7 linked regions of the Sus scrofa genome follow. The protein of the gene in region 1 interacts with the protein of each later gene in a pairwise test. Links are inferred from orthologs where the notes say so. Each region holds a gene or a part of one and is shown in the gene's direction. Other genes may lie near its edges. The genes, in order: EDA, PLN, CYB561, DOLK, LEPROTL1, MAL and EMP3.

Evidence for each region.
Region 2: the proteins of EDA (region 1) and PLN interact in binary tests that used the Homo sapiens proteins (3 or more experiments, as listed by UniProt). The link is inferred for Sus scrofa from reciprocal best matches to the Homo sapiens genes EDA and PLN.
Region 3: the proteins of EDA (region 1) and CYB561 interact in binary tests that used the Homo sapiens proteins (3 or more experiments, as listed by UniProt). The two-hybrid records come from large-scale screens. The link is inferred for Sus scrofa from reciprocal best matches to the Homo sapiens genes EDA and CYB561.
Region 4: the proteins of EDA (region 1) and DOLK interact in binary tests that used the Homo sapiens proteins (3 or more experiments, as listed by UniProt). The two-hybrid records come from large-scale screens. The link is inferred for Sus scrofa from reciprocal best matches to the Homo sapiens genes EDA and DOLK.
Region 5: the proteins of EDA (region 1) and LEPROTL1 interact in binary tests that used the Homo sapiens proteins (3 or more experiments, as listed by UniProt). The two-hybrid records come from large-scale screens. The link is inferred for Sus scrofa from reciprocal best matches to the Homo sapiens genes EDA and LEPROTL1.
Region 6: the proteins of EDA (region 1) and MAL interact in binary tests that used the Homo sapiens proteins (3 or more experiments, as listed by UniProt). The two-hybrid records come from large-scale screens. The link is inferred for Sus scrofa from reciprocal best matches to the Homo sapiens genes EDA and MAL.
Region 7: the proteins of EDA (region 1) and EMP3 interact in binary tests that used the Homo sapiens proteins (3 or more experiments, as listed by UniProt). The two-hybrid records come from large-scale screens. The link is inferred for Sus scrofa from reciprocal best matches to the Homo sapiens genes EDA and EMP3.

The regions. Positions count from the first base shown.
Region 1 is NC_010461.5:56,096,012-56,099,879, forward strand, and holds part of EDA (ectodysplasin-A), read left to right. Parts: intron 1-1,333; coding exon 1,334-1,464; intron 1,465-3,326; coding exon 3,327-3,578; 3' UTR 3,579-3,868. UniProt on the Homo sapiens protein: Cytokine which is involved in epithelial-mesenchymal signaling during morphogenesis of ectodermal organs. Functions as a ligand activating the DEATH-domain containing receptors EDAR and EDA2R. May also play a role in cell adhesion.
Region 2 is NC_010443.5:43,455,840-43,460,183, reverse strand, and holds the start of PLN (cardiac phospholamban), read left to right. Parts: upstream 1-1,258; 5' UTR 1,259-1,332; intron 1,333-4,344. UniProt on the Homo sapiens protein: Reversibly inhibits the activity of ATP2A2/SERCA2 in cardiac sarcoplasmic reticulum by decreasing the apparent affinity of the ATPase for Ca(2+).
Region 3 is NC_010454.4:15,435,372-15,439,798, forward strand, and holds the start of CYB561 (cytochrome b561), read left to right. Parts: upstream 1-1,442; 5' UTR 1,443-1,525; intron 1,526-4,427. UniProt on the Homo sapiens protein: Transmembrane reductase that uses ascorbate as an electron donor in the cytoplasm and transfers electrons across membranes to reduce monodehydro-L-ascorbate radical in the lumen of secretory vesicles.
Region 4 is NC_010443.5:269,256,742-269,260,957, reverse strand, and holds DOLK (dolichol kinase), read left to right. Parts: upstream 1-1,473; 5' UTR 1,474-1,801; coding exon 1,802-3,418; 3' UTR 3,419-3,572; downstream 3,573-4,216. Other genes in the region: nucleoporin NUP188 homolog, read right to left, coding at 1,364-1,395. UniProt on the Homo sapiens protein: Catalyzes CTP-mediated phosphorylation of dolichol, the terminal step in de novo dolichyl monophosphate (Dol-P) biosynthesis. Dol-P is a lipid carrier essential for the synthesis of N-linked and O-linked oligosaccharides and for GPI anchors.
Region 5 is NC_010457.5:54,919,761-54,923,628, reverse strand, and holds part of LEPROTL1 (leptin receptor overlapping transcript-like 1), read left to right. Parts: intron 1-1,530; coding exon 1,531-1,717; intron 1,718-2,532; coding exon 2,533-2,649; 3' UTR 2,650-3,868. UniProt on the Homo sapiens protein: Negatively regulates growth hormone (GH) receptor cell surface expression in liver. May play a role in liver resistance to GH during periods of reduced nutrient availability.
Region 6 is NC_010445.4:46,239,410-46,244,025, reverse strand, and holds the start of MAL (myelin and lymphocyte protein), read left to right. Parts: upstream 1-1,758; 5' UTR 1,759-2,132; coding exon 2,133-2,444; intron 2,445-4,616. UniProt on the Homo sapiens protein: May be involved in vesicular trafficking from the Golgi apparatus to the cell membrane. Plays a role in the maintenance of the myelin sheath, and in axon-glia and glia-glia interactions.
Region 7 is NC_010448.4:53,756,230-53,760,675, forward strand, and holds the start of EMP3 (epithelial membrane protein 3), read left to right. Parts: upstream 1-1,546; 5' UTR 1,547-1,813; intron 1,814-2,762; 5' UTR 2,763-2,846; coding exon 2,847-2,924; intron 2,925-3,193; coding exon 3,194-3,296; intron 3,297-4,322; coding exon 4,323-4,446. UniProt on the Homo sapiens protein: Probably involved in cell proliferation and cell-cell interactions.

The DNA.
Region 1 (3,868 bases):
GGATCTGGCGTTGTCTCAGTGGTGATGCGGGTTCCATCCCTGGGCCAGCACAGTAGGTTAAAGAACCAGCCTGCATCTGTGGCTCGGATTCAGCCCCTGACCCAGGAACTTCCATATGCTGTGGGTGTGGCCAAAAATAAAAACAAAATGTATATTTTCTTGGATGAAGAATGGATAGGGTTTTGGTTGGTTGGTTGGTTGGTTGGTTTTGATTTTTGGGGCTGCACCTGTGGCATATGGAGGTTCCCAGGCTAGGGGTCGAATTGGAGCTACAGCTGCCGGCCTGCGCCACAGCCACAGCAACACCAGATCCCTAACCCACTGATCAAGGTAAGGGATCAAACCTGTGTTCTCATGGAGGCTAGTCAGATTCGTTTCCACTGAGCCACTACGGGAACTCCAAAAATGGATGATTTTGAGGGGAAAAGGCTGCATGGGCTTGGACTCCCTCCTCTTGTGATGGGAAAGAACATGCCCCTTGCTGCAGGATAGAAAGGAAAGCTTTTCCTCACCCTCACGCACTGGCTTCTACAGTCTAGCAAAGATGGACTGACTGCTCCTTCACCCCAAATGGGCTATTACTGAAGGACAGATGCTTTGCAGGGGTGCCTCGGTACCCAGACACCCTCACTGTCCCCTTTGCTGCCTCTAGTGTTTTGTGGCAGTCTATGTCTCACTCTCATTAAGATCCTTCTCCCCTATGGGGCCTTACTCCTGGTGATCACTAGATATGGCTGCCATGACATCTGACTCACCCCTGATCCCTAGAGTTCTCTGGGTAGACAACTCCTTGGGCTGAGTGGTTTCCTGGGGGCCCAGGGAGGCTCCAAAAAGGAGTGGGTATGGAGGAACTATAAAAAGGAATCTCTGAAGGACAAGGAGAAAACCTATGAACATGAACAGGAGAGGGATCCAGGAGCTATGGCTGGTGAAATGAAATGAATAATAAGACCTAGCCTGCCCCTCAGTGTCTGGATTTTGCCTGTGCAGGCCTCCAAACAACAAAGAAAATAGGGCAGCTTGCCCACCCTCTTCTTACTCTCCTCCCAATTCCAGCTAGAAGGTATTGGTTAAAGATCTTACAGAAGGAGGGAATCAGGAAAGGAGAGAGGAGGACAGACAGGCAGACCCCAGGGGCCCGAGGCAGACCTGGCCACTACTTGCCACTTTACAAACAGAACATTTTCTCTGCTTCCAATTGCTCTTCTTAAAGCTGGGCTGTCCAGGTTGCACTGAGGTAGGGGTGGAGGTTGTGTACTGTTTGATATTTCTTTTTTCTATTACCCAGATGATTCTGACATGTACTGAGTGACTGCCCTTCTCTCACACTGAGATCTTTCAGGTGGAGTGCTCAATGACTGGTCTCGCATCACCATGAACCCCAAGGTGTTTAAGCTACATCCCCGCAGCGGGGAGCTGGAGGTACTGGTGGACGGCACCTACTTCATCTATAGTCAGGTAGAAGTGAGTACGGTCTCAGGCCTAACTCTTCTTATATCCAGAATGCAGATCCGGTGCAGACCACAGAGGGGCACTGTGGAGCCAGCCAAGATCAGCCAATGGCTAACTTCCTGCTTTGGGGGTGGGGGCAGGGGGACAGACCTTGGGAGGGAGTTGAAAAGAGGGAAGAGAGAGGGGGCCATCTGGGGTTTTTTCTAGCCAGATATTATTGAAAAACTGAAAGGAGGCCCCCTCCACCCCCTCTGCCATCTGATTCCCTCCTACAGGGCCCCAGGCCCTAGTTTCCCTGCTATGCTATCTGGCTCTACTGCCAAACTTGAACGCTGTCTCAATATATTCTGTGCAAGTCAGTTCCAGGGCTGCTAAAACCCCCTCCCCCACCACATCACTGGCTTAAAATGAATAGTGCTCCTCTGAACCTTCTCTCCACCTCAAAAAGGTGTATCTTTCCTCCCTCTTTCTCCCATTTGTTTCTCTACCTTTCTGCTTCTCTGTCATTCTTGCCTCCCTCCTGCTGTCGTTCTCCCAGCCCTTTTCTCCCTCTGTTTTTGTCCTTGTCCTGGCCCCAGGCTCACTCCCCAGCTCGCCCAGTGCCCATCCACTTCCACCCCTGCTGTTTGCCTCCAGTGGGGTAGCTCCTCAGAGGTACAGGTGGATGAGCCTTGAGGTTGGGGCTTCTGTGGGGCGGGTGGCAGGCAGGTGGATGGACAGAAGGACAGCGGAGTCAGCACAAGGGTCTCCAGGAGAGTGGCTGGAGAAGATGGGTTCTCAGCATTTGCTGAGGCCACCCAGTGTCCTGGCGCAGCCGGCGGTCCTGACCCAAGAAGTTGTATGGCACCCGAATACACTGCCACTTCCTAAACAACTCCGGGAGGGCGCAGCCTTTCATAAAGTGATTTAGGGTGACAGATGAGTGTCTCAATCCCCAGGGGTGTAATCCCAAAGTCCTAGGGACCATTCAGGCTAAGTACCATCTCGGTGGGGGCAGGGGGTCAAAGATTGGGGTGGGGTGTGATGGAGAAGGGTAGTAAGGGAGAGAAAAATCAACTTGGGGGGCCTGAGATAGAATTACGAGTGGCCTCAGGCCTTGGACCCCATGCAGAGTGGGAAAATCGGCTGAACACCATGCCATTGAATGGAGCTTAGCACTTCCTTCCAGCCACAAAGTAAAGTTAGGGACCTGGCTTTTGCCCTTCCATGTTCGTTATCTCATTTGTGAAGGAGAGCTCTCCATCTCTCTGGATCAGTTTCCTCAATCATCAGACGAGAGGGCCAAGGGGCATCAGGAGCATCAGTGAGAGACATTCAGCCTATGGGGAGCGGGGCTGCATGCTGAAAGGGCTGAAGAACCAGCTAAAGAACCAGCAAGTTGTCCCTGTGCCCTCTCTGGGCAAGTGGTAACTTCTGAGTTTTTCCACACATAGTCTGTAGGGCTTGAAATTGGAAGTTAATTTGTTTTTGTGTCTGTAGACTGATGAGCATCTAATGTGTGCGGAGAACTGTGCTTCACGCCAGGGCTGAGGAGGCGGGGCGTGGGGGGGAGGTTTGAGGGCTGGGGGAGGTTAAGGGGCGAACAAGGTGTGATTCTGGCCCTCGCAGAGTCTCCCACCAGTGTGCTGTTGGAAGAAAGGTTAGCTCAGCCACCTGGGCTCCAAGGAGTGGGGACAAAGGACGGTGAATAAGCCTGTCGCCTCCCCCGTCCCTTTGGCTGAGTAGTACGCCTTGGGGTCTCACTGCCCCCTTCTCAAGGTGCACTAGCAGCTCACATGAGCAGGTCCGCTCTGTTGGTCACAGGGGAGGGGGGAAGGGGGCCCTGCCCTGTCCTTCTGCTGGCCCCCAATCCCATCTCATTGCCTCTCGCCCAGGTATACTATATCAACTTCACTGACTTCGCCAGCTATGAGGTAGTGGTGGATGAGAAGCCCTTCCTGCAGTGCACCCGCAGCATCGAGACGGGCAAGACCAACTACAACACTTGCTACACCGCAGGGGTCTGCCTCCTCAAAGCGCGGCAAAAGATCGCCGTTAAAATGGTCCACGCCGACATCTCCATCAACATGAGCAAGCACACCACCTTCTTTGGGGCCATCAGGCTGGGCGAGGCCCCTGCATCCTAGATCCCTACCCAGCCCCCTCTCTGGCCCCTGCCCTTGCCCTTACCCCAGGTTTGGGAACTGGAACTCCCAGAACCTCTAAGTGCTGCTGTGGAATAAGGGGTATGGGTGTTGCAGCTGCAGAGAAAAATGCCCCAGTGCTATTTATTCCCCGGGGTCTCCAGGATGACAAGGCCTTACTGACTTTTCAGAATGACCTTGAGTGAACTGCACAGTTGACTGAGCCCCAGGGTTGACGTGAAGCAAAACCTTCCTCCTTGGCTCCGTGTTGACTGCTTATGGCACGACTCTTC
Region 2 (4,344 bases), on another chromosome or scaffold:
ATAAGAAAGTAAAGCAGGCTGAGTTCACTCTGCCGTTAAGTATAAAACAAATTAAAAATAACAATTAGCTTGTCCAGAATTATGGGCAAGATTTAAAGAATTAGAATTCTGAGATGTGGTGATTTAAGTAAATCTAAAATATAAACAAAAAAATTAGAAAAAAACAGGAAAATGATGCCTGGCTTTTCAAAGGAATACTTTTCTGTTCTCGGAAGTTTGAAATATCATTCCATTTACTAAAATTTAATTTACATAGTAATTTTCAGGAAAACAATTACTGCATTAAATGAGCATACCCTTTTAGAAACACTACTTAAATTTCCAAACACACGCACACCTGTCGTTAATAAAGTGTCATTAACTAGGATGCCACTGATTAGGGATTTGTGATTATTTCTTTTCTGCTGCAAAGTTACTCCTGATACTGTGTCAGCTTACTAAAATTTTAGTAAGATTTTACGGTAACTTAAGGCAGCTGTTAAAAAATCCTAAGTACTTAAATTTGTAAACAGCGAATTTTCCAGGGTAATATCTATCAGTTTAAACATGAGAATTACAGTAAATATATTGTTCTAAATGAAGAAAACACAAATGAATTAAATATATTTATTCTTACTTTAACTGTAAGGTAAAGCTAATTTTTTTTTAAACCAAAATCAGTCTTCTTATCCTTGTTTTCTCACACACACTCTCTCTCCCATACACACATAGGTATGAAAAAAGAACACAGTCAGTCAGGAAAAGGTGTAAAATTTGATTCTGTAACAATGTTTAATTATTATCTTGCTAGAAGCTAACATTCTGAAGCTGCAGTGTTAAAGCAACAGCAACAACTCAATCAAAGTTGTCTGGCTTAAGCCAGTATTATTACTCTCAATCTATTAAAACTCATATTACTTTAATTCTTCAACATTATCACCCTCAGTTTACAATTATTTCTAAGCCTGAAGATGCATGAACTTTTACAAAACAGCTATCACTCTGAACTTTCTATTCACCCTGAACTTTTCAATTTACCTCCCATATATTTTAAAAGTTAAAAAAAAGAAAAAAAAAAAAAGAAGCACAAAGTATTAATGACCTTTCTATAACTAATGTTAAGATAAATGACATTCTAAAAAGTTTGGCTGTGATAAGACTATGGCTAACCAATCATAACTTCAGAATTCCTGGGTGACATCATAAGACCTCCCTATAACCCTTTTCCCCCTCCACCTACTTCAATTGTTCCCATAACTCTGGTAACAGAGTCAGAAAACTTTCCAGCTAAACACCGATAAGACTTCATACAACTCACAATATTCTATACTGTGATCATCATAAACAGCCAAGGTAAGAAACAGATTTTACTGATTATGGCAACTCTTACTTTCTATAATTCAAACTTAGAGAACTTTTTAAAAAGAGTTAATCGTACTTGGTAAATTTCAGTAGGAAGTTTGATAATGTCTGGCTGACGTAAAGCTTAATTTCTAAATAAATGCTTGTCCATTCAAGTAATAGTAACAATAAGACTGTATTCATCTTTGATCCTGGTTAATGGTTTGTCATTTTAATTTAACTTTCACTTTTATTTCCGCTGTTCAAAGGTGAATTTCTGCCAATTAAAGTATCTTTCAACTATGTTACCATGTTTGGTGGTAGAGGTGATTTGATTTCTCCATACAAAAACAATGTTTTCATTTTGTTATGTTACTCTGCTAAGGAGAAGGGTAGGGCTGGGCTGTCTGTTTACATCTAGATACTATGAACAATGGTGTGACTGTATAAAATGCACATTATTGGCATGAGTATTCTGATATTATCATTATGATTCCTTACAGTGAATATTAATAAAGTGGAGTTTAAGAATAAATAGCACAAACTAGTTTTAAAATGCTTTTGAAGACTTTTTTTCCTTTCTATAAAGTCCAGTCAACTTCTACAAAAAAATCCAAGCTTTTAATAAATTGTGTTATTTCTATTAAATTTAATATTCTATCATAAATGATAAGTTTGGGCATTTCAAAATACTTGTCAGAAACATGTAAAATTCTTTATGAAGTTACAGAATATTAATTTATTTTAAAAATAAAAAAACATTATTTTGGCAGTACAAATATTCCTATCTCATTTGAGTGAATTTGATAAAAATGGATCTTTACTCTGCCTATTAATGAATATACTTTTATCAAGGTACTATCCTCCAGTGTTTCTCAGTTTCCTCTCTTGTACTTAGAGGGTGGACAGGAGAGGATGAAAAATGCCCAAGAAGGGAGATACCACCATAAATTTTGTAACTTCTGTTTAAATTCTACTCTACTCTTGATGTTACAACCCTCAATTTAATGTATAAAATGTGTCTTCATTCTAAGATTTCAGTCAGGGCATAAAGGATATTATGATTTTCATTATTTTTATCTTTACATAAATGTCAAAATAAAATTACCTCTGGAATTTTAAGTTCGAATGACAAATGTTAATTCTACTGCTTTTTATAGATAAGAACTTTTTAATTCCTTAAACAGCTTTCCTTGAGGCACGCAAAGACATTTCCAATTTTTGTCTCCCACTGAAGCACCCTAACTGCCTATCAATATCTTTATTTTCATTAAATATTTTTCCTTGGATATTACAAAGTCACTCAGTGTGGGTGTTTTATATGCAGTTTTTATGCATTTTTACTTAAATGCCTATCAAATTACACACATTCTCACACTTAAAATGTTCATGAGTTCTTTTACAGTACCAGAATTTCACATTGCATACCACGCCACAAATGTGGTAATTTCCAGAAAGAGCAGAAATTCTGCTATTAAAATTATCCTTAGATAGACAGTGTGTCCAGATTAACAAAAATTATGTACAGTGACTATTAATCCAAATTTCAAACATAATTCCCTAGTGCCAGACATTATGTCCCAACTAGTTTATCTCCATCATAAGGTGAAATTTAAGTAATGTCTTGTTTCATGTGGTTAAAACTAAGTGCTTTAAAAAAAGCATCTGATGAAATAAAATGGAAGAAATGTGAAAGATTTTTTAATTATGAATAATTAATTAAGTTTAAAAAACACATGAAAGAGTACTTTGCTTTACCAAGAGAGGTCGTGCCACTATCATTTCCTAAAACTCAAATACCAAAATTACTTTAACGATATTTCAGTGGACATTAAGGAAAATAATACTCCAGAAAAAATTACATTTGGTTATACATTGATATTGTTTCTTAAATCTCACTAATTAATTAGAGAGAGAAGACTTTGCATAAATGAAACAGTCCCCCCAAAAAGAATTAAAATATTAATGTATTAAATAAAAATATTACTTATGTAACAAATTGTTTAATATATAAAAGTTTTAAGTAAAAAATTAAATGTAAAGGATTACCTAAATTAAACTGCTTATTACCAATCCTAGAAATAAAGAGGGTCAATTAAAACCTCCTCCTTTATTCTTGAAGAATTTTCTAAATGCGCCATATAAAATATCTCATTTGATCCTCTCAATTCCCTATTTGTTTGACATTCCATTTCTTTCTCACAGTTTAGGAAACAGATGCAAAAAGGTGAACTGCCCAAGGTCACAGAGCTAGGAAATGGTGGAGCCTTGGCAGAAGCCAAGATTTTATGACTCTAAACCACAAGCATATCCCATCCACTGATCAACAAATAACTCCTGACACTGGCAAAACAAAATAAATTCAAAGTCCTCAAATACTGTTAATGGTGCTCTAAAAGGCAAAGTTAGATGACACAAACTTCCATTTTAATTTAAAACCACTTCATTTAAAGTTAATTTTTGCATGAGGCATTATGTCTTTAATAGCCTATATAATATCCTCCTGGCCATTTTCAGAGCCAGGGATATAAGGAAGTTAGAGATGTCCTCAGTTACTATGCAGTATATCCTTGAAGACAAAACTCAAAATAATTGCACAGATTTCAAAAAACAGTAGCATGTACAATCAAATCAAAGTTTCCTTTTACATTGCTAAAATACTCATGCCTTTAATCTACTTAGCTTTGATACCTAAAAGACAGGTTAATTTCCCCTCAAAACTTTTCATAAATACCACAGTTCTATATTTTATTCCAATTTCATGTTAAAACTTTAGCTTTCCTCAATTTTATTTCTGACCTCTTCACATTCTACCATTTAAAATATTCAACCTCATTTGTTTAAAGGGGCTTGAAGAGAGAAATACTCCTTTATTTACGTTATGAAAAACACTAACTTTCATCTAAACTGTGAATTAACACAGTGGTGATCATACCAGCAAAGGAGGAAACCTAAAGGTTAGAAATCAAGGAAGTGATGCTTCCAAACTGCAGTGACCTAAATCAGATATGTAGTCTCTCTGAA
Region 3 (4,427 bases), on another chromosome or scaffold:
TGGTATGTGAAGGAAGCTGTTTCTTAATTTAAAATGTCCTTTAACTCCCTCCAGCTGGAAAGCTACCCCAACAAAACTTATGTTTGTGGAGGATTTAAGCTCTGTCACTCTGAGGGGGTGGGCCCAGCTGGGTTTGCCCCATCTGGAGCTGTGCCCAGGCTAGTGGGCACCCTGGTGTCTTGCCATGCCCTTAAGAGTCTGTTCTCTCTGTAAGGGGGTATTGGTTCCCCAAGGCCCACCCTGGCCAGGGCTTTCTGGGAGCCATCAGCCAGGCTCATGGGAAGCACGCAGCCCTAGGGGAGGGGGAGGAGCGTGGGGGTGGAGGAGGGGTGTCCTTTTGCTGAGGCTCATTTATGTTTGGGGGGGGAGAGAAAGCCCCCTTTCCTTACTTCTGCCAGGCCCTTGGTGAGTCTTGCCAGGCATCCGACAGGAAAGAACCTTTTGTTCTGAGCTTGTACGAGGTCTGAGCTGGACTTGTTATCTACCCACAGCATTTCCTGGATAGGAGGCTTGGACTGGGCTGCTGTAGGGGCTGGCCCCCAGCCTGGCCTTGGCCCCTTCCTCTCTTAGTGGGTGGGGCTGGGGAGGCTACCGATGGATGGCAAGGTCTAGGCCTTCAGGAAAGGATGGTGAGAACTGGTATTTATCCTTAGGCTGTGGGGGATAGGGTGGGAGGGGGAGCAGTGAGTCAGGAAAAGGTCCCAGGCTTGGGAAAAGCGGGCAAAACGTCACCTAATGTGTGCGTGGGGGCGCTGCGGAACTGGGGAAGGGCTGAGTCGGGCCTCCCTGCACAATGACACCTCTTCCCTCCTGGCTGCGAGGCTAAGGGCTCCTCCGGGGCTGCAGGACCCGCAAGAGCGCGGGCCAAGGCCCAGGCCGCGCCTGACACCTAGCGGCCACCTGAGCGCGGGGCGGAGTGGGGCGGGGCAGGGAGAGGAGAGGGAAGAAGCTGGGAGGGAGAGGAGGGAGACTGGAAGCGCTGAGGCCAGGCCGCATCCCCCTCCCGCGGCCCTGGGTCCCGCCCCCGCCCCGCCCTGCTCGGGAGAAGCCGGGCCTAGGCTAGGAAGCTCCCTACACCCACGGAGACGCAGACCCCATATGCCCCCGAACGTGGCGCGACCCCGAAGCCAGGTCGCGAGGCCAGGATTCGAAGGCTACACGAGCTCCGGTCTGCAGGTCGCGACACAGTTGCCAAGGTTCTCGCGCCGTGGCCCGTACCACGCGGGCGGCAGGGCTTGAGTTTGGCGTCTGGCGGGGCCGCCCCCTGACCGGGGACTAGGGGGTGCCGGGCCGGGTCCCATGTGCGCGGACCCGCAGGGGCACTTCCGGTCCCCGCCCCGCCTGCCGCGCAGCGAGCCCGGCGGCCAACCCTCCGCTCGGTTTCCATGGCGACGCGGTAGCGCGGAGGGCGGCGCGGCTCGCGGAACCGGTAGAGCAGCCCTGGCTCAGAGCTGGGAGCTCGCCGCCCAGTTGGTGGCGCGGCGCTGATCGGCGGGGACGAGGTTTGGGCCCGGCGACCGGCCAGGTAGGCGGCCTGCGAGGGTAAATGCGAGCCGAGACCCCGCGCTGAGTCGGGACGGGGTCCGGGTATGTGTGGGGGGGGGGGGGGGACGGCGGGCTCAGGTGTGCCCTGCCTCGGGAGGGACCGCGCCCGCGCAGTGACGGGCCAGGATCCTGACGCCGCAGCCAGTTTTTCTCCTCCCCTCTCCGGCCGCCACACCTGCTCACCTCACCTGCTTCCCCGGCTCGGGGGCCGCGGAGCAAGGCCTGAGGTTAAAGAGCGCGTCCCGCTCCCTCCTGGAGCTGTCAGCCGTCCGCCCCGGGTCTGCCTGTGTGCGGAGTCTCTGCCCAAGTCACAACAGCACCATGTGACTCCAAGTTTATGTATGGACCCTCCGCTACCTAGAAACTAGGTAGCGTAGACGTGAATCAACCAACGTTTGCTACGACTGTTCCTTTGAAACCTGAAACTGCGCTGCTTCGCTATAGTGGCAGGGCCTCCCTCCTCTGCCCCTTTCCTCGTGGGGTAGGGAGTTTAGCCAGTAGATCCCTTCCTTGTTCTCCAACACCCCCAGCTTCTTAATGTGAGAGGAGTTTCTCATTTCAGAAATCCTTACTCCTTGGTAGGCTCTTGAACGCTGGGTGCAGGGGGTGCAGAACTGAGCTGAGGAAGCCATCTGCTGCTGCCTTTGACTCCTGGGTAATGGCAGGGCCACCTCCCCTCTCTGCCTGCCCTTCCCCCAGGGCACCGCACAGAGGAGGATCCATGTAAACTCTGGAGTCCCACACAGGTCTTTAAAGGCTGGCACCCTTCCCAAGTCTTTTTTCCCTTCTGGTTGCCCCTCTCTTCTCTCATTCTACCTAGACTGTCTGAGGATTTTCTAAAACTCATTAAATGAAGCTCCATCTGGATTCTCTTCCTTCATTTTCATAGCAAATGAAAAACAAAACAACCCACAAAACTTTGCTACGGTCTCACAGATATTTTGATTTCTCTTGTGAAACTGGACTGAGGCAGAAAATAGGCAACTTGTAAATGCCAAGGGGAGCCCAATGCAGAGAAAGGGCTCCCGCCCCACCCCCACAGGAGGAGCCTCCTGGACCTGAGTGACTGCTTTGCTTGGCCCACTGCTTCCCTGCCTGCGCCACCTGCCCTTGGCAAGCAGAGCTCGGGCGGCTTCTAACACCAGGTGGTCCAGCAGCACTAGAAGGCTTTGGAGGAGGAATTCACCCTGATCCAGGGGTTTCTGCTCAGTGCGGGGATTCACAGTAGACAGAAGGGGGGTTATGGATTTATTAGAGGGGGTCATTGTGCTATCTGCTGCCATCTGGCTCTCTGTGGTCCCAAACCTCATGTCAACAGCTTCTGATGTGTGACTTTTCCTAAGGTACTCTTAGGACAAGATTTAGTTTTTGTTAGACTGCTATGTAATTGAGCGTGAACTGTGTGGCAAGCACTGTGCCAGGCACTGGTATATGTTTATCCTGCTTAATCTTTGCTACAGGCCAGTAAAGTGGATCTCAACATCCTCCTACCTTGTGGAAGAGGCTCAGAGAGGGCACTTGGCTCACCTGGGTGAACACAGTCATGAACAGTGGGGCTGGCTTTGAAATCACATCCATCTGATCAGGGCTGCATTGTGACTTTCCCCTTCCTTCATAAAAAAAAAAAAAAAAAAAAAAAAAAAAGAATATTTTACAACTGCACTGATATAAAGACAAATACAATCCAGGCTGGATTAAAAATTAAAATATCTTCTTTAACCCAAGAAGCTTGTTTTTTCTTATGATTTTAACAAAAATCAAGGCATTTTTGGGGGGAGCCCTGGACCCAGCAGAGAAGTGAGCGTAGTGTCTGACTTGAAGCTTTGCTTTCTTCCTGGGGGTTGCTTGGGTGTGGGTGATAAGAAAGTGCCCCACCTAACAGCTCAGCCCTCATTTTGCCCTTTCTTTCATCATATTCAAGGACAGTCTAGGATAATTAGTTGTTCCCCCCTTTACCCATCAAAAAAACATCTTAACCCCCAACACAATCTTTTCTAACTCAATTAAAACCCTGCTGTGGATAAGGAGGGCTGTGGCCAGCCCAGGCTCCCTGCTTCCAGGCTGTGGGACGTGTTTGGTGTCTGGTCCCCATAATAAGATTAGGCCCAGTGGCCTTTCAATGAAACTCTGTGGGCACAGGGAGGGAGAGGGATGCTTGGCGCGTCCAAGCCCTACGGCAGCTCATGGCCCTGTCTGATTGCATTAAAGGGAATCTGACTGCAGGTGTGTGTGGGAGCAGAGGAGTGACTGTCACACAGCCTAAAGTTCCAGAGGCTGCTAAAGATCTGACATCCCCATCCTGTGCTCTGACAGGAAGGAGGGTGGCCGGGTAGGGATATACATGAGCCCCTTCTCTAGCTTCCTCCCGTGGCTGGCATATCTTAGGGGCTCCATAAGCAACTGAGTTGAGCAGTTCTTTGCTGTGGATGATTTTGGGCAAGTCATTTATCCTCTTTGAGTCCCACTTTTCTCATTGGGCAAACTGGGGTAAGGCTCCTGCTATCACAGGTTACTGCAAAGACTCAAGAGAGAAGTGCGGCAGTGCTGAGTACAGAGGGGGCTCACAGCTGTGAGGAGCTGTGCTCTCCAGTCCTGCCACCGTGGGAGTGCAAACAGCACTGGGGTTCAGACTCCCAAGGGAATTGAGGATGTGAGTTTTCAGTACAGGACACTAAAGCCTCATGTTGAGTCATCACGCTGTTCTGCTGTGTTTTGTTCTCAATGCCACCGAGGGAATCTCCATGTCTCGTCTCAGCAGATGCTGCTGGTGTCCCACAATTTAACTTAGTTCTGACACTGTCTTCCTGGAGACAGCGCCAGATCCCACAGGTTAAGGGCTCAGTCCCGCAAGACTGCTCTCCACCCCCATCAGATGCCAACTG
Region 4 (4,216 bases), on another chromosome or scaffold:
GAAGAAAGCATCTTTCAGGCAAACTAACCGCTTCCCTCTCCTTGCCCTCTCTTTCACTGAAGAACGCGCCTGGCCCTGCAGGAGCTGACCTTTACCCAAGCTCCACAAGGACTGTAAGACAAGCCTAAAAAAAGGAGAGCACAGCGACCACAATGCTGCCCGATACAAGAGCTGACATGAAAAACAGCGGAGGAGAAAAACACAAACTGCTCCAGAAATAGTTCGATGGAAATTCCAGAGAAGAGAAATCTCACTTGAAACTTTACATGATTAAAAAGTATCATCACAATGGAAAAAAAAAAAAAAAAGTCACTTGAGCAGAGAGGCGCAGGAAGTCGTACAGAGAACAAGGGCAATACTTGTCATAAATATTTACTCAGAGCCTATTCCATGCTCTTCGGAGTGTTGAGTAGTAGTGAAAAGCCAAAAAAAGTAGCGAAACACTGCAGGCACAGGGAAGAAGTGACAAGGGGACGGTTAGCCGGGAGGGTGGCCGCGAGAATGGAAGCCGCTTCGAGCTGTAAGTGGAAGATGGAAGTGTGGCGATCTGGTTACAGATCCAGAGGCAGACACACGCCTGTTCGAAGCCTCACCGGACCCCTCCGCCAGTTCTGAGTTGGGTCTATGAGTCATCTATCCGTAAAACACAAGGTGCCGCTCGGAGTCGTGGGAGTTCAAGGAGATAAAGCCATGGAAAAGAACGCGCCTCGCCAGCCCGGCGCTGGTATCGCTCCAGAAGTAAGAACTGTCTCTTTCTTTTGAGTATTTTATCTTCCCGTCCCCAAAGCCCAGTACAGTGCGTGGGGTGTCCGCTGACGGAATCAATACAGGAGAAAATGAATAGATGGATGAATGAAAGGCTGGGCGGCCCAAGAGGGCAGAAACTGCAGGAACGTGGCTCGGCGACGCCCGAAACAGACCTTCCATGGAGAGCACATGCGGGACCCTGGGGAGCGCCGCCGGGAAGGGCCCAGGAGGCTGCGGCGGGGACGGGGTGGGGGCTCCCCGGGCGACCGCGAAGCGCCCCGTCGCGCCTCGAGGGAGCGTCACGCCAGCCAGGAAGCGGGAGGGGGGCGCCGAGGGACGCGCCACGGGGAGAGGGGAAGAAGGGAAAGGAACCGGAGACCGGAGGCGGGCGCCGAGGGAAGGGGTAAGGCACCGGCCCCCTCTCCGAGAAGTCGCTTCAGATGCCCGCGCGCCGAGACCGTTTGGCCGTAACCGCCTCCATCCCGGCGCCCGTCCGCCTAGCCGGCCTTCGCCCCGCCACTGCCGCTACATCGTGCCCTCAAATCCCGCCCCGCTTCCGGCTCGGATTCGACCCGGCGCCTAACAGCCACCCCCGCTGACTCGGCCCGCTCCGCACCTCACACACGGCCCGGTGGCGGCCGCCGCCATCTTCGCGCGCGCGCGCCCTAGCCCCGCCCCCAGACGCCGCGCCCACGTGACCGCTCGCCTCCGGGGCGTGGACGGGGCTTTTCGTCACGTGACGGCGGGCGGGGCCAACATGGCGTGGCCCGGAGCGGTGAGGACTCCCGGGCGAGGGCGGTCGAGTCAGTGAGGGAGTCGGTGGAGGAGCGACACCTACGCTTGAGGTGGGAGACGTTGGAGCGTGACCTGACGCCAGCTCCTTGCCTGCACAGAGTGATCATTCAGTGGCGCTTCCCTTCTGGCAGCAGGAGAGCGGATAGAGAACGTGCTGGCTGGGTGAAGCTACCGCTCTGTGCCTGGCGAGGATTGAGGAGCCCAGAATCCAAGGCATCTCCAGTCACCCGGGTTTCCCCGGGGTCCCAGATCTAGAGACATGACCCGAGAGTGCGCTCCTCCGGCCTCTGGGTCCGGGGCTCCGCTGAGCGGGTCCGTGCTGGCAGAGGCAGCGGTGGTGTTCATAGTGGTACTGAGCATCCACGCAGCAGTGTGGGATCGGTACTCGTGGTGCGCCGTGGCCCTCGCCGTGCAGGCCTTCTACGTCCAATACAAGTGGGACCGACTGCTACAGCAGGGAAGCGCGGTCTTCCAGTTCCGAATGTCCGCAAACAGTGGCCTCCTGCCCGCTTCGGTGGTCATGCCTTTGCTCGGACTGGTTATGAAGGAGCGCTGCCAGGCTGCGGGGAACCCATACTTTGAGCGCTTTGGAATTGTGGTGGCGGCCACTGGCATGGCAGTGGCCCTCTTCTCGTCAGTATTGGCTCTGGGCATCACTCGCCCGGTGCCCACCAACACCTGTGTCATCTCGGGCTTGGCTGGAGGTGTCATCATTTATATCATGAAGCACTCTCTGAGTGTAGGCGAGGTGATAGAGGTCCTGGAGGTCCTGCTGATCTTCGTCTACCTCAACATGATCCTGCTGTACCTGTTGCCCCGCTGCTTCACCCCTGGAGAGGCTCTGCTGGTATTGGGTGGCATCAGCTTCATGCTCAACCAGCTCATTAAGCGGTCTCTGACTGTGGTGGAAAGCCAGGGAGACCCCTTGGACTTCTTCCTGCTGGTGGTGGTGGTAGGGATGGTGCTCATGGGCATCTTCTTCAGCACCCTCTTTGTTTTCATGGATTCAGGCACCTGGGCCTCCTCCATCTTCTTCCACCTCATGACCTGTGTGCTGGGCCTTGGCGTGGTCCTGCCCTGGCTTCACCGGCTCATCCGCAGGAATCCCCTGCTCTGGCTTTTTCAGTTCCTCTTCCAGACGGAGACCCGAGTCTACCTCCTGGCCTACTGGTCTCTGCTGGCCACCTTGGCCTGCCTGGTGGTGCTATACCAGAATGCCAAGCGGTCATCTTCTGAGTCCAAGAAGCACCAGGCCCCCACCATTGCTCGGAAGTATTTCCACTTCATTGTGGTAGCCACCTACATCCCAGGTATCATCTTTGACCGGCCACTGCTCTACGTGGCCGCCACCGTGTGTCTGGCGGTCTTCATCTTCCTGGAGTACGTGCGCTACTTCCGCATCAAGCCCCTGGGCCACACGCTTCGGAGCCTCCTGTCCCTATTCCTGGATGAACGAGACAGTGGACCGCTCATCCTGACCCACATCTATCTGCTGCTAGGCATGTCTCTTCCCATTTGGCTAGTCCCCAGGCCCTGCACACAGAAGGGTAGCCTCGGGGGAGCGAGGGCCCTAGTCCCCTATGCCGGCGTCCTAGCCGTCGGTGTGGGTGACACCGTGGCCTCCATATTCGGCAGCACCATGGGGGAGATCCGCTGGCCCGGAACCAAAAAGACTTTTGAGGGGACCATGACATCTATATTTGCCCAGATCATTTCTGTAGCTCTGATCTTAATCTTTGACAGTGGAGTAGACCTAAACTACAGCTATGCTTGGATTCTGGGCTCCATCAGCACCGTGTCCCTCTTAGAAGCATACACTACGCAGATAGACAATCTGCTTTTGCCTCTCTACCTCCTGATACTGCTGATGGCGTAGCTGCTGCACAGCAGCCATGGAGGAGACAGGGACATGGGGAAGATGAATGGTCCTCACAGCTGCCAGCCCCTTGGGCGGGAAGAGCCCAGGGGTGAGATACAGATTTAATTTTTCAGTCGATTCAGATTTCAAATAAAAATCAAAGCACTCCTGATTTTAGTTTTGCTGATACTTAAAAAGCAAAAAAAAAGGCAGTTCCCGATGTGGCTTAGCGGTAACGAAGCTGACTAGTATCCATGAGGATGCAGGTTTGATCCCTGGCCTCACTCAGTGGGTTAGGGATCCAGCATGTCTGTGAGCTGTGGTGTAGGTTGCAGATGAGGCTCAGGTCCAGCATTGCTGTGGCTGTGGCTGTGGCTGGCTGCTGCAACTCCGATTCAACCCCTAGCCTGGAAACCTCCATAGGCCTCAGGTTTGGCCTTAAAGAGGAAAAAAAAAAAAAAAAAAAAAGGCGATCCTTGGTGGCTCAGTGGGTCAAGGATCTGGCAATGTCACTGCTGTGGCGCAGGTGCTAGTTCAGTCCGTGGCCTGGGAGCTTCCGTGTGCTGCGGGGCATGGCCAAAAAAATATTTTAAAAAAGCTTAAAGGATAATGCAAAAGTTCAAAGAGCTTGTGTGTCTTAGGGCTTCCCTCCCCTAAGTCCTCAGGGGGCTGGAGGGGACCAGTACAGCAGGGTGGTCAACACTTCAGGTTTCTGGAGTCAAACTGCTGGTCAGCATCCTTGGCTGCACCACTTCTTAACTGTGTGTGTGGCTTTATCACTCTGGGCCTCAATTCTCCTGTTTGCCAGATGGGATT
Region 5 (3,868 bases), on another chromosome or scaffold:
AATTTTGAAAAGAATGAGGAGGAGTTCCCTTGGAGTGCAGTGGGTTAAGTATCTGGCATTATCACTGCAGCAACTTGGGTCATTGCTGTGGCATGGGTTCTATCCCAGTCCAGGAACTTCCACATGCTGGAGGCATGCCAAAAGCTGAATGAAGAAGAGCTGTGTTTGCTAATATGTGGAACAGGATATATTGTTAAATGAAAAAGTGCAGTGATTCATTCACATTTTTACAGTTTATCTATGTGGAAATACGGAAAGATCCACATCAGTAGGAGAGTAGGAAGGAGAAAGCAGGCAAGGCACAGGCAACCTTGATTTTTCACTTTTTGTGCCTTTGTATTTTTGGTATGCTTTTCCCCTTCTTTCCATTTTTTATTCTTAAAATATTTAGGAAAAGATTTTTAGAAAAAAAAGAAAGATAAATCTTGCTTATCATGAGCCCTAAGTGCAAGTAAATCTCCATTATGATGTTTATTTTATTTTATGGCAGTTTTAAAAGCTATCTCTCTCTCTTTCTTTTTCTTTTTTCTTTTTTTTGTCTTTTAGGGCCACGTCTGCAGCATATGCGAGTTCCCACACTAAGGGTCAAATCAGAACTGCGACCCACACCACATCTCATAGCAGTGCCAGATCCTTAACCTGATGAGCAAACCTCCTGGTTCCTAGTCAGATTCCTAGTTAACTACTGAGTCACGATGGGAATTCCTTTTTTCTATATTTTGATTTCAGTATTTTGGGAGTTCCTAAGTGACCTAAGAAAAGTTTGGGGGATATTCCAGTTTCAGACTAAGGCAAGATATTAGAAGTCAAGGGCATGAATCTTGAATTTTAAAAACTACTGAATTAGGAGTTCCCGTCGTGGCGCAGTGGTTAACGAATTCGACTAGGAACCATGAGGTTGCGGTCCCTGCCCTTGCTCAGTGGGTTAACGATCCGGCGTTGCCGTGAGCTGTGGTGTAGGTTGCAGACGCGGCTCGGATCCTGCGTTGCTGTGGCTCTGGCGTAGGCCGGGGCTACAGCTCCGATTCGACCCCTAGCCTGGGAACCTCCATATGCCGCGGGAGCGGCCCAAAGAAATAGCAAAAAAAGACAAAAAAAAAAAAAAAACTACTGAATTAATAATCCCACTTTTCATATGCCTTTTTACTTATAACCCAAAATGAAAAAATTCCTTTTTACTCTGGGTTTTGATTCCAACTGTTACAGTTCATAAAGCATTTTCTTATAATTTAAGGAATATTTACTCATTGTATCATAATTAATTTTAAAAATACTATGACTCTAATTGTTTCTCTTTTCAGTGCTCGGATTATAGCTTTTCTTTCTTTTCTTTTTTCTGGCTGTGCCCATGGCATGTGAAAGTTCCAGGGCCAGGGGTCAAACCTGTGCCAAACCATTGTAGTGACAATGCCAGTTCCTTAACCTGCTGCACCATGAGGAAACTCCCTATGTCATATTTTATACCTTGCAGTATGTAGGAAAATGACAAAGATAGCAAAAACTTACATTAATTTATTTTTCTTTTTTTAGCCAATACTGGCCCCTCTTTGTTCTGTTTTTTTATATCCTTTCACCTATTCCATACTGCATAGCAAGAAGATTAGTGGATGATACAGACGCTATGAGTAATGCCTGTAAGGAACTTGCCATATTTCTTACAACAGGCATTGTGGTCTCAGCTTTTGGACTCCCTATTGTATTTGCCAGAGCACACCTGGTAAGTGAAAGCATTTTTCTACACAGGATTTTACATCAGACTGGGTCGAGTTTCTCTCAGAAAAAAAGGTTTTTGTTAAATGACATGAAAAAGAGACCAGGGACATAGGAGCCTAGAGAATAAGAGCTAAAATCTTACTCTTGTTGTTAACTGATGAAAATATTGGGGAGCATTAGCAGCAAGAGTTGGCTTGCCAATACTTCGATCTCAACCAGTGCCAGACATCCCACAGGGCTGCCCTGTGCAGCTTAAAACATGGAAGGCTGGAGATCTTGTGTTTTCTGCAGGTGGGAGAGTAGAAGGGGCCTCCCGGACTCCCCAGGCAGATTCACTCCTCCGCCTCTGGGGAGATAGAGACTGCAGAGAGGACAGGCTTGGCACCCTTGCACCTGAAGAGGGCAATTACTCCCCTGCCTCTTTAAAAGAATGTCCCCAAGTGTGTCTGCATCTCTGATACTTTAAATTGAATCTGCTCTCTAGATAAAAATTTTTAGATTCACTAAGGAAGAGTTGGAACAGATTGATCTGTAAACAGAAAATTGTGGAGTTCTACACTGCCTCCTCATAGGCCGGAAGCAAGCTTGCTTTTGAATAATTATTCATCTTTCATGACTCTCTGTCTCTTTAAAGGAACTGGAGCTAGACAAGAACAGCAATGTAGAAGTACCATTAAGTGTTCTGCAGTGTCAGAGTTATCACTACAAGTCCCATTTGTTTTGGATCATGATTGGAATACAGCTAGAGCCTTGATTCGCTCTTCATTTCTTGTTGTTTTTCCTGTCTATTAACTGAGCATTTCTGTCTAATGTCCACAGATTGAGTGGGGAGCTTGTGCACTTGTCCTCACAGGAAACACAGTCATCTTTGCAACTATCCTGGGTTTTTTCTTGGTCTTTGGAAGCAACGATGACTTCAGCTGGCAGCAGTGGTGAAAGGAGTTACTGAACTATTGTCACAGGGACTTCCTGTCATTTCTCAGCCGACAGTGCACACGGGAGATGGGGCGGTGATGCTGAGCAGTGCAGCAGGCCTCCCGGGGGCATTTCAGGTGCTCCCGGCTCACTTGCATTGTAAGCATACTATTTTCAGAGACTTGCTGAAGGATTAAAAGGATTTTCTCTTTTGGAAAAGCTTGACTGATTTCACACTTATCTCTAGTATGCTTTCTGTGGTGTCCTGCTGAATTTAAATATTTATGTGTTTTCCCTGTTCAGTTTTTGTTTAATCAATATACAATGTTAAACATTATTTAAATGTAATAACCACATTTGCATTGGTTGGGAATTAGAGTTCTGCTGGCTGTTACTGGGTTAAAGTTGTTTATTTTTTCCTTAAAATTATTTAACTTCCATGCCTACACAAAGTTATAAAAATAATATTTTTTCAATCAGTCAGGTTGACATCACTCCCAATTTTATGTAAACATGCAGACCATTAGCATACCTTATAGACTCTTTTCTCAGTGCAAATATAGCTGCATTGATACCTCACAGGGGCCAAATATTAATGCAGTGCCCTCCATAAGGGTTGCTGGTTTTGCCAGAAAGCAGGTGTTTTGTGAATTGAAAATTATTTTACAGAATTGCTACAGAGGAGTGCTTTTATTCTCAATTGTTAGAAGAATTTATTGTTAAAGGTAGGGTGTGAAAACAGATGTTTGAGATATGGTTTTTATTTATGTTTATTATAGTTAAAGTAGAGTGAGTTGCATTGTGGGAAGAAACAGCATTGGAATTCTGTTTTTTGAATCCTGTTTCTATTTATAAGTGAAATTTTTATCTTCTTTCAGCCTTTAATGTCTTATGTGAGTAAAGGGACACATGGGACTACTACTGACGTGGCAAAGTTGTATGTTTGCATCCTACATAGAAAGTCTTTCCCTGCTTCCTCTTTTTAACTTATTTTATACATTGTATATATTGAGTAAAATAACTTTTCCAGTATGATTTAATAACACGTTAAATTAGAGATGCTTAATGCACCTGGAAGGTGATTGCTACACCATACATTCAGAGTACCCCTGCCTTCAAGGCCTTCACGTGATTAACATGTCATTCATGTATTAATAGCTCAAGATTTAGACCATGTCATTGTACTTCTTATTCCCTAAGGTTATATCGTAATGTAATTTTAAAAAATTTAAGACATGTT
Region 6 (4,616 bases), on another chromosome or scaffold:
GATGACCAAGAAACACATGAAAAGATGTTCAACATCACTCATTCTTAGAGAAATGCAAATCAAAACCACTATGAGGTACCACCTTACACCAGCCAGAATGGCCACCATCAAAAAGTCTGCAAACAATAAGTGCTGGAGAGGGTGTGGAGAAAAAGGAACCCTAGTACACTGTTGGTGGGATTGTAAAGTGGTGCAACCACTGTGGAAAACACTATGGAGATTTCTCAAAAAACGAAAAATAGAACTACCATTTGATCCAGCAATCCCACTCCTGGGCATCTATCCAGAGAAAACCACGACTCACAAAGACACATGTACTCTGATGTTCATTGCAGTACTGTTTGCAATAGCCAAGACATGGAAACAACCTAAATGTCCATCGACAGAGGAGTGGATCAAGAAGATGTGGTACATATACACAATGGAATATTACCCAGCCATTAAAAGGAATGAAATACCGGCATTTTTAACAACATGGATGGACCTAGAAATTATCATGCTAAGTGAAGTCAGTCATACAATGAAACACCAACATCAAATGCTTTCACTGACATGTGGAATCTGAAAAAAGGACAGACTGAACACCTTTGCAGAACAACATTGAAAAACTTATGGTCTCCAGAGGAGACAGTTTAGGGGGTGGGGGGATGTGCTGGGGTTGTGGGATGGAAATCCTGTGAAATTGGATTGTTATGATCATTACACAACTACAGATGTGATAAATTCATTTGAGTAATTAAAATAAAATAAATATAAACAAAAAACAAAACAAAATATAATCGCTATAAATGGAGTATAAACTTTAAAACTGCAAATCTCTATATAGTACACCTGTAACTTATATAACATTGCATATCAACCATACTTCAACAAAAAAAAATCCAAAAAGGCAGGGATCAAGTCTCCTCTGCTCCTGTGTTATCCCTGTGGCCTGGCACTTTATGAAATGGTACTGATGGGGGGACTGAGGGCAGGGGCCTCTATCATGTGTACTGTTACCTCTTCAGTGCACCCAAGAGCTGCTCAGAAATGGGAGCCTGTCCCCACACCAACCTGGATGTAGAAGGACTGGCCTCTACGGTTTGGCCTCTAGGGTTGGGGAGGAGTACCCAGTGCAGGCCTAGCCCAGGTGTCCACTGACTCTGAGTGTGATGTCCCTTTTGGATGGAACTCACCTAGGGAGCAGGGACTCTGTCTTCCCCACTCAAATACCCGCCCTCTGTGTCCCCGTCCCTGCATCACCCTGACAATGCTTGGGGATGGCTTTCTCAGGCAGTGGTGAAGGGCCAAGTCTCCCCAACCCAGGAAACGGGAACCTAGAAGAGGTTGGGAACAAGCAAAAAAGGTCACAAGCAGTGGCTCACTGTCCCTGGAGGCAGCAGGGCACAGGTGCCCCCTTGGCCCACCAGGGCACAGCTCTCTGGTGAGCAACCACCCCCCACCTCTAGGTTTCAAGTGTGTGGATTTTAGGCAGGAGGCACGGAGGCAGTGGAGACAGTCTGCCTTCTAGAGTCAAAGGGCCCGGCTCCTCTCCAGATGGCCTGGGTGTGTTCCTTCCTCACTCTAAACCTGTATGTCTGGGTAAAACTTACCAGAAAGGCTCTGTGGGATTAAATGAGATCGTGTGGGCAAAGAGCCTTTTGGTGGCGCTGGGCACTCCATAAGCCTTCAGCAATGCTGGCTCTCCTCAGCCCTTCAAGGTTCAAGACAGCTGTGGCTGCCATTAAGCCACCACCGGGCAGCTCCAGGAGGAGTGGTGGAGACCCAGGGTGTGGCCTTCAGGCGCTGGGCTCTCTGGGGCGCAGGGACAAGTGTTGGGCGGCTGGAGTGGTCCCAGACTGCCCCTGGAGGGCGGGGAACTCGTCCCACTGTGAGCCAGAAGAAAGACGAAAAAGCCACAATTTAAGAATAGTTGAAGCAATGGTGACCTGAGCGATGCCACGGAGTGGGTTTGGGGGCCTAGTTGCTGTTGGAGATCATTCTTAAGAAGTGGTGATCACCTGCAAAGAGTGATCACCTGCAAAGGGCCTCATCTAAGCGGCTTTGTCCTCCTCCGGTGGCGGTGGTGCCCAGACCTGGGACTCTGAAGTCAAACTCCCGTCCCAACCTTGGTGTGATTCAGAGTTGTGTCTATGGCGCTGGGCAGGTCCCCTGGGGCGCGCCCCACGTTCTCGGATGGCTGCAGCCCCGTGGCGGCGGCCAGGGCTCCTCCCTCTTCGTCCCAGGCGCGGCTGCTCTTAATCCGCGCGCGGTGGCTCCCTGGCCACTGGGCTCCGCCGAGCAAGCGAGCGGTCAGCGCAGAGCCAGAGCCGCGCGCGTCCCGTTGCGAGGCCGACGCCCAGCCCGCGAGCATGGCCCCCTCAGCTGTGTCGGGCGGCAGCAGCCTGCCTAGCGGTTTCGCGGTCTTCATCACCTTCCCGGACCTGCTCTTCATCTTCGAGTTTGTGAGTGGCTGGCGGGCCCCGCGCCCAACCGGGGAGGGCGGGATGGGACGGTCCGAGCCGCTCGCTCTCACCCGGGCTCCGCACAGCGCGCCGGCCCATCCGCCAGCCGCGCGGTCTCCGGTCCCCGGAGCATCGGGTAGAGGGGCTCAGGCAAGGAAGGTGTCTTCCCCGGGCCCACCCCGCAGTACTTTAGCCTCTTCCAGCCAGCGACAATGGGGAAATAGTCTCCAGGGCTTAGGTGAAAAACCAAGTTCACAAGAAGGATCAGATGTCGGAAACCCGCCGCGGTCCACTGTGAGCCGGTTCCAAAGCTGTGCTCGGGACGTTTCCCCTTATAGGAGAGCGACATTCCCGTGGAGGAGTCCAGCTCCCTCCACGGTTAAGATGTTTTTGTTTTTTGTTTGTTTTTTGTTTTTTTTAATTTTAAAAGTCAGCAAAAGAAACCTGAGGATTACCAAGCGAGGTGTGGAGATAGAGTTGGGGTCATAGGAGGAGCTGAATCCGGATTATTCGCTTTCTCAAACGTTTCTGGCGAGTCAACAAACTTGCAACAACTTTGATCTGGAAATAACACAAGAGGCCACGGTCCTGCTGCCTCCCTGCGTGAGGGGTGGGGGAAGGGAGCCGGACCTGGGCGAGCCCTCACCTTCCCTGGCTGACCTTGGGCGGTGAGCCCAGAGACCGCTGCGCCTGCAGCTGGTCCCTCCTTACACCGGAGCCTCACAGACCCCCCTCGCAGGCTGCAGAAAGCGCTCCCTGTCATAGGCCTCAGGCCGCCTCCGCCTCAACTTCGCGGGGCCCTAGGCCCTCCGCTGAGACGGAGCAGATGTGTTTCTTCCGTGGGTGCGGTGCCAGAGACTCCTTTCCCTACAGGCGCACAGCGGAATGGCTGCCTTGGAGAGTCGGTTGCAAAAGAAAATGTGCAAACCCAACTGTTGGAAAATGGGACCCCAGCTTCTCCTCCCCTGATTGGCGAGGGAGGGTGTGAACAGCAAGGGGAGTTCTATCACCCATTGAGGGATGGGTGAAAGGGTTGAGGGGATCAAGGTTGCCTGGTGGCACCATATCACTGAACTTGAGCCAAAGCTGGATGTATCCAGAGTGACTTCAAATCCTGGAATTAGCCAGAATCCAGGAGGTGAACACCTCTAAGCTCAGCCTGTGCCATTTACAGATAGGGCTACCTAGGTCCAGAGTGGAAGGGGCTTGCATCCACTGGTACATTCCTTCCCCAAATGGCTCATCTCTGCACTTCTAGTCAACCCTTAGCCTGAAAATGAACAGGTATTCTAAGTAGTAAGTGGCTTCTTTTGAGGTTATTGTATTTATAAATGCAGAATTTGGTGACTTTAAGTGATGAGGGCTAAAGGTGACGTGAGATGGAGCAGAGAGATTTTTAAACAAAAGGACTTCCTAATAACTAAATCACCCTAATGAGTTATTTACTCCGCCATTGTAGCCGGAGCATTATAACAAGAATCATGAGAGAGTTAACTGGGTTCATGCAAGTCTTGTGCACCCTCCTCCTCTGGCCTTGACCTGAATGGAACAAAAATATGCATGTCCACAGCAGCACGATTCAGAATAAGCAACAGGTGGAATCAGCCCAAATGTCCCATTTGCAGGTGATTGGATAAACAAATTGTGATAGTCCATGCAATGGAATACTATTCAGCTGTAGAAAGGAATGAAGCACCAATACATTCCACAAGGCTGATAAACCTGAAAACAAGAAGCCAGAAACAAAAGGTCACACAGCGTATGATTCCATTTATACGAAATGTCCAGATTAGGTAAATCTATAGAGATAGAACACAAACTGGTGGTTTGACAGGGACTGATAGGAAAGGGAAATGGGGGTCAGCTTAATGGGTATGTGGTTTCTTTTTGGGGCAAGAAAAATGTGTTGGACTTAGAGGTGGTGGTTGCACAACATCATGAATGTATTAAATGCCACTGAAGTGGACAGGTTTTGTTTTTGTTTTGTCTTTTTTAGGGTCGTACCTGTGGCACATGGAGGTTCCCAGGCTAGGGGTCTAATCGGAGTTGCAGTCGCTGGCCTACACCACAGCCACAGCAATGCTAGATCATAACCATGTCTGCGACGCCCACCACAGCTCATGGCAACACCAGATTCTTAACCCACTGAGCGAGGCCAGGGATAGAACCTGC
Region 7 (4,446 bases), on another chromosome or scaffold:
CAGCCAGCAACACAGGATCTGAGATGTGTCTGTGACCTACACCAAGCTCACGGCAAAGCCAGATCCTTAACCCACTGAGCGAACCCAGGGATCGAACCCACGTCCTCATGGTTCCTGGTCAGAATCGTTTCCCCTGTGCCATGAGGGGAACTCCCTGATCACCCTTTTAAAGCGGCCTCTCATCATTATCGATGCCTCTCTATTTCCTTCAGAGCACTTATCACTCTCTGAAATCTATCTTCACTGATGGTTCCCCTTTATTGTCTCTCTCCCTCACCAAGAAGGTAAGCTGCAGGGCTCGCATCTGTTTTCTTCATTATTAACTCTTGGTTCATAATAGATGTTCAATAAATGTTTGATGAAGAGAGAAATAAAAGTGTTAGGTGTGTTCGTGTACTGGTATTACCTTGTTCGTTTAGAGTAAATATGAGGGGAGTCCCCTCTGTGGCTCAGTGGGTTAAGAACCCGACTAGTATCCATGAGGATGCGGGCTTGATCCCTGGCCTCGATCAGTGGGTTAAGGATCCAGCATTGCCAGAAGCTGCAGATGTGGCTTGGATCCCACAGGGTGGCTGTGGTGTAGGCCAGCGGCTGCAGATCTGATTCAACCCCTGGCCTGGGAACTTCTCTATGCTGCAGGTGCAGCCCTAAAAAAAAAAAAAAAAAAAAAAAAAAAAATGATGGAGTTCCCGTCGTGGCGCAGTGGTTAACGAATCCGACTAGGAACCATGAGGTTGCAGGTTCGGTCCCTGCCCTCGCTCAGTGGGTTAACGATCCGGCGTTGCCGTGAGCTGTGGTGTAGGTTGCAGACGCGGCTCGGATCCTGCGTTGCTGTGGCTCTGATGTAGGCTGGTGGCTACAGCTCCGATTCGACCCCTAGCCTGGGAACCTCCATATGCCGCGGGAGCGGCCCAAGAAATAGCAAAAAAAAAAAAAAAAAAAAAAAAATGAGAATAGGTATCAGAATTGTTATTATCAGTGTTAGTGTATTATCGTATTATTGGTAGTATTGGATCCACCTCCTTGATTCAGAAACTAAGGCTCAGAGTTGAAATAATTGGTCGGTTCTCCAGGTAGGAAGTGGTAGCACTTGGGATTGTTAATTTCCACCTCCTGCCGCCGCTCCAGAGTTGCACACTTCTCTGTTTCCCATCCCCTGATCCCCACCATGGTGCCCAGCCCACCAGCCCTCAGCCCTCTCCACGCTGCAGGAATGTGGCTCCTCCTCCAGCCTCCCCCCCCTCTGAGTGCCCAGTCCCAAGCCCCATCAAGGAAAGACGACAGCGGTCCCAGAGCAAGAGGCCTGCGAATCGGACCCTCCCACCCCCGATGCTGGCCCCACCCAAGGGCCCCAGCTCTGTTCCCTTCCCTCCAAAGATGTCTCATCTCAACCGCGGGAGGGAGCCCCAGAAGATGCCTGTCTGGGGGCAGTGGGTGGGGGCCCGGAGAATGAGGAACCCGAATGCCTGGGCCCTCCCTCTGGCTGCAGACCTCAGCTGGGCGCGGTGAGGCTGGTATAAAAGGGTCAGTATATATATTGAGAGGAGAGAGAAGGAGAAATCCGGAGAGAGAGGAGAAGGAGCTCCATAGACAGTGCGGACGGGACAGAGCGAGGGAGGGAGAAAGAGAAAGGGTTCTAGGATTGGAGGGGAGACGGAGAGGGCGAGAGCCAGAGGGGAGAGCGAGCGAGGGAGGGGGAAGGCGGCGAGGGAGGCGGGGGCCCCGCGAGGGTGGAAGGAGGGAGGAGAAGGGCGGGGCGCGGAGGCCCGAACGAGGGACCAGACGCCGACTCTGACTTTTTCCGCCGCTCTCGGTAAGTTTCCGATCCGTTATTCCGACGGAGATTCCTTTCTTTCCTTGGGTGTGCAGAAGTTTAGAAAGGAGACCCCCAGCCTGAGAGAGACAACCCCCCCACCCCGCCCCGGGCCCCCGCTCAGTCCTCCTGGAAATCCTTGTAATTTAAGAAGTGATCTCTTAGCACTTAAGAGTGGAGCCTTGGGTAGGGGTGGGGCCCGCCAAGGTTTGAGGGTTCCCAGCGGAACAGCCCCCCAAAACCTCCTGCAATTTTTTTTCCTATGACTGAACACTCCCCCTCCCCCCGCCCCCCACAAAGACCCTGAGGTCAAGGCTTTTCGTGAGCATAACCAAAGTCTAAGGACCCTCCAATCCCCACCGCCCTTTCTGGACTCTGAAGGGTCATGGGAGGCTGGCTGCTTCTTCTCCAGCCTCTCTCCCCACTCCCAATACAGATCTTGTCCATTTTCCTACAAGGTGTCCAGCAGACACTGGTCTGGCGACAGGGTGGGGTGGGGACCTCGTGGGCCTAGCCAGGGGCTGGGGTTTCCCTGGTGCTTGGGGTGGGGGGAGATGAGTCATCGGATGACTCACCGGGTCCCCCGTCCTCCCCCCAACCCCTGGAGAGGAGTGGGGTGAGTCAAGGATGCCTGTCTCTGGGGGCAGCCCTGGGCTTGCGATGAATCTGAAAGGGTGGCAAAACGAATTGTCATATCCTGTGCCCAGGGACAGGGCTCGGACGACATGGGGGCCACATTGGCAGTCCTGCTCCTTCCCAGACCCGAGAGTCCATCCCTGACCCCCTCCAGCCTCTGGGGAATTCAAGAGTTCCGGTCCCCAGTCCCCTCCTCCCTTAGACCCAAGAGTCTGCACTATAGTCTCTTCCTCCCTCAGACCAGGAATCGAGGCCTGTAGCCTCCTTTTCCCATTAGACCGTGGAGTCTGAACTCAGCCCCCTTCTCTACCAGGCTTCAGGCATCTCAGCTGCCCCTGTGCCGACCTCTTGAAGTCACTATCTCCTGACGTCCCCACCCCAGACTTCCAACTCAGCCATGTCACTCCTCCTGCTGGTGGTCTCTGCCCTTCACATCCTCATTCTCATCCTGCTTTTCATAGCCACTTTGGACAAGGTAAGCCCACCTGGGAATAGCGGGGGCCCTCGGGCTCTCCCGCAGACTCCAGCCGCCACGCCCCTCCCCTAAAGTCACTCTGGCCCCGCCCCCTTTCTCTAGCGCTACCCCTTCTGAGCGCTGGCTCCGCCCTACCCTCTCCCCTGACACGCCCCCTCCCCTTTCCTACTAAATCCATGCTTTCCCAGTTCGGCTCCCCGGGCACCTTGCCCTTTTCCTAACCCTTCCCAGTCTCCCTAATGTTGCCCTTGTTCCTCTGTCCATCCCAGTCCTGGTGGACCCTCCCCGGGAAGGAGTCCCTGAATCTCTGGTACGACTGTACGTGGAACAGTGACAACAAAACGTGGGCCTGCAGTAATGTCAGCGAGAATGGTGAGGGGCGAGGGGCATGGCAAACCAGTCTGCCAAAGGGAGGGGTCACCCCAAGTCTCCTCCCAGAATAAAGGATTGGGAACCCCCAAAGTTTGAGTGAGTGTCTGGGTCCCCATGCTGAGTGACTGAGGCTGCTGATGTATGATGCCTCACCTATCTGGATGGTCGGGGGAAATATTCTCATGTCCTAAAGAGCATGGGCTAAAAGCCCTGCTCTCTATGATTCACAAGGGATGGAGGCCACGTGGGTTAAGGAATGGGGGGAAAGCTCCCAAGAGTCTGAGATTATGTTTCCAAAGTTCTTAAGGAGACATGACAAGTGTTCTGGAGGGATGGCCCGAATCGATTTGTCCAAATTCCAAGTTGTGGTTTAGAACCACATTAAGGTTCTAAAAAGGTGAGGCTGAATCCTTCCAAGTTCGAAAGAAGAGGGGCCAGATGCATCTGAGTTCTGCAGGGGTGGAGCAGCAGCCATCCAAATTTCTAAGTCAAGGAAAATGAAAAGTCAAATGCGTTTCCCCTAAGAGCAGAGTAAGAATTTCTGCTCTCACCACTTCTATACAGTCTTGGGCTGAAGGTAGACAATGCAACAAGGCAAGAAAAGGAAATAAAAGGCATAAAGATGGAAAAGGAAAAAAGAAAAATGTCTCTCTTCCCATTCAACACGTTTATACACAAAATCCGAAAGCATCTGCAAACAGGAGCTCTCTGGTGGCACAGCAGATTAAGGATCCTGTGTTGTCACAGCTGTGGCTTGGGTCACAGCTGTGGCATAGGTTCCATCCCTGGACCCTGGAACTTCGAATGAGGGTGTGCCCCCCCCAAAGAATCTGCAAATGGATTCTAGAACTGATAAGGGAATTCAGGGAAGTTACAAGAATCAGGTTGCTATAAGTGATACTACTAAGTGTCTAACGTTGTATGGTTCTAAGTGGAAGAAGGGTTGGAAGGAGGCAATGATGAACAAGCTGGTGAAACTGGAACTCTGGATCTGCTGTGACCTCCACCTCTATCTGTTTCTTGCAGGCTGGCTGAAGGCAGTGCAGGTCCTCATGGTACTTTCCCTCATCCTCTGCTGTCTGTCCTTCATCCTGTTCATGTTCCAACTGTACACCATGCGGCGAGGAGGGCTCTTCTATGCCACTGGCCT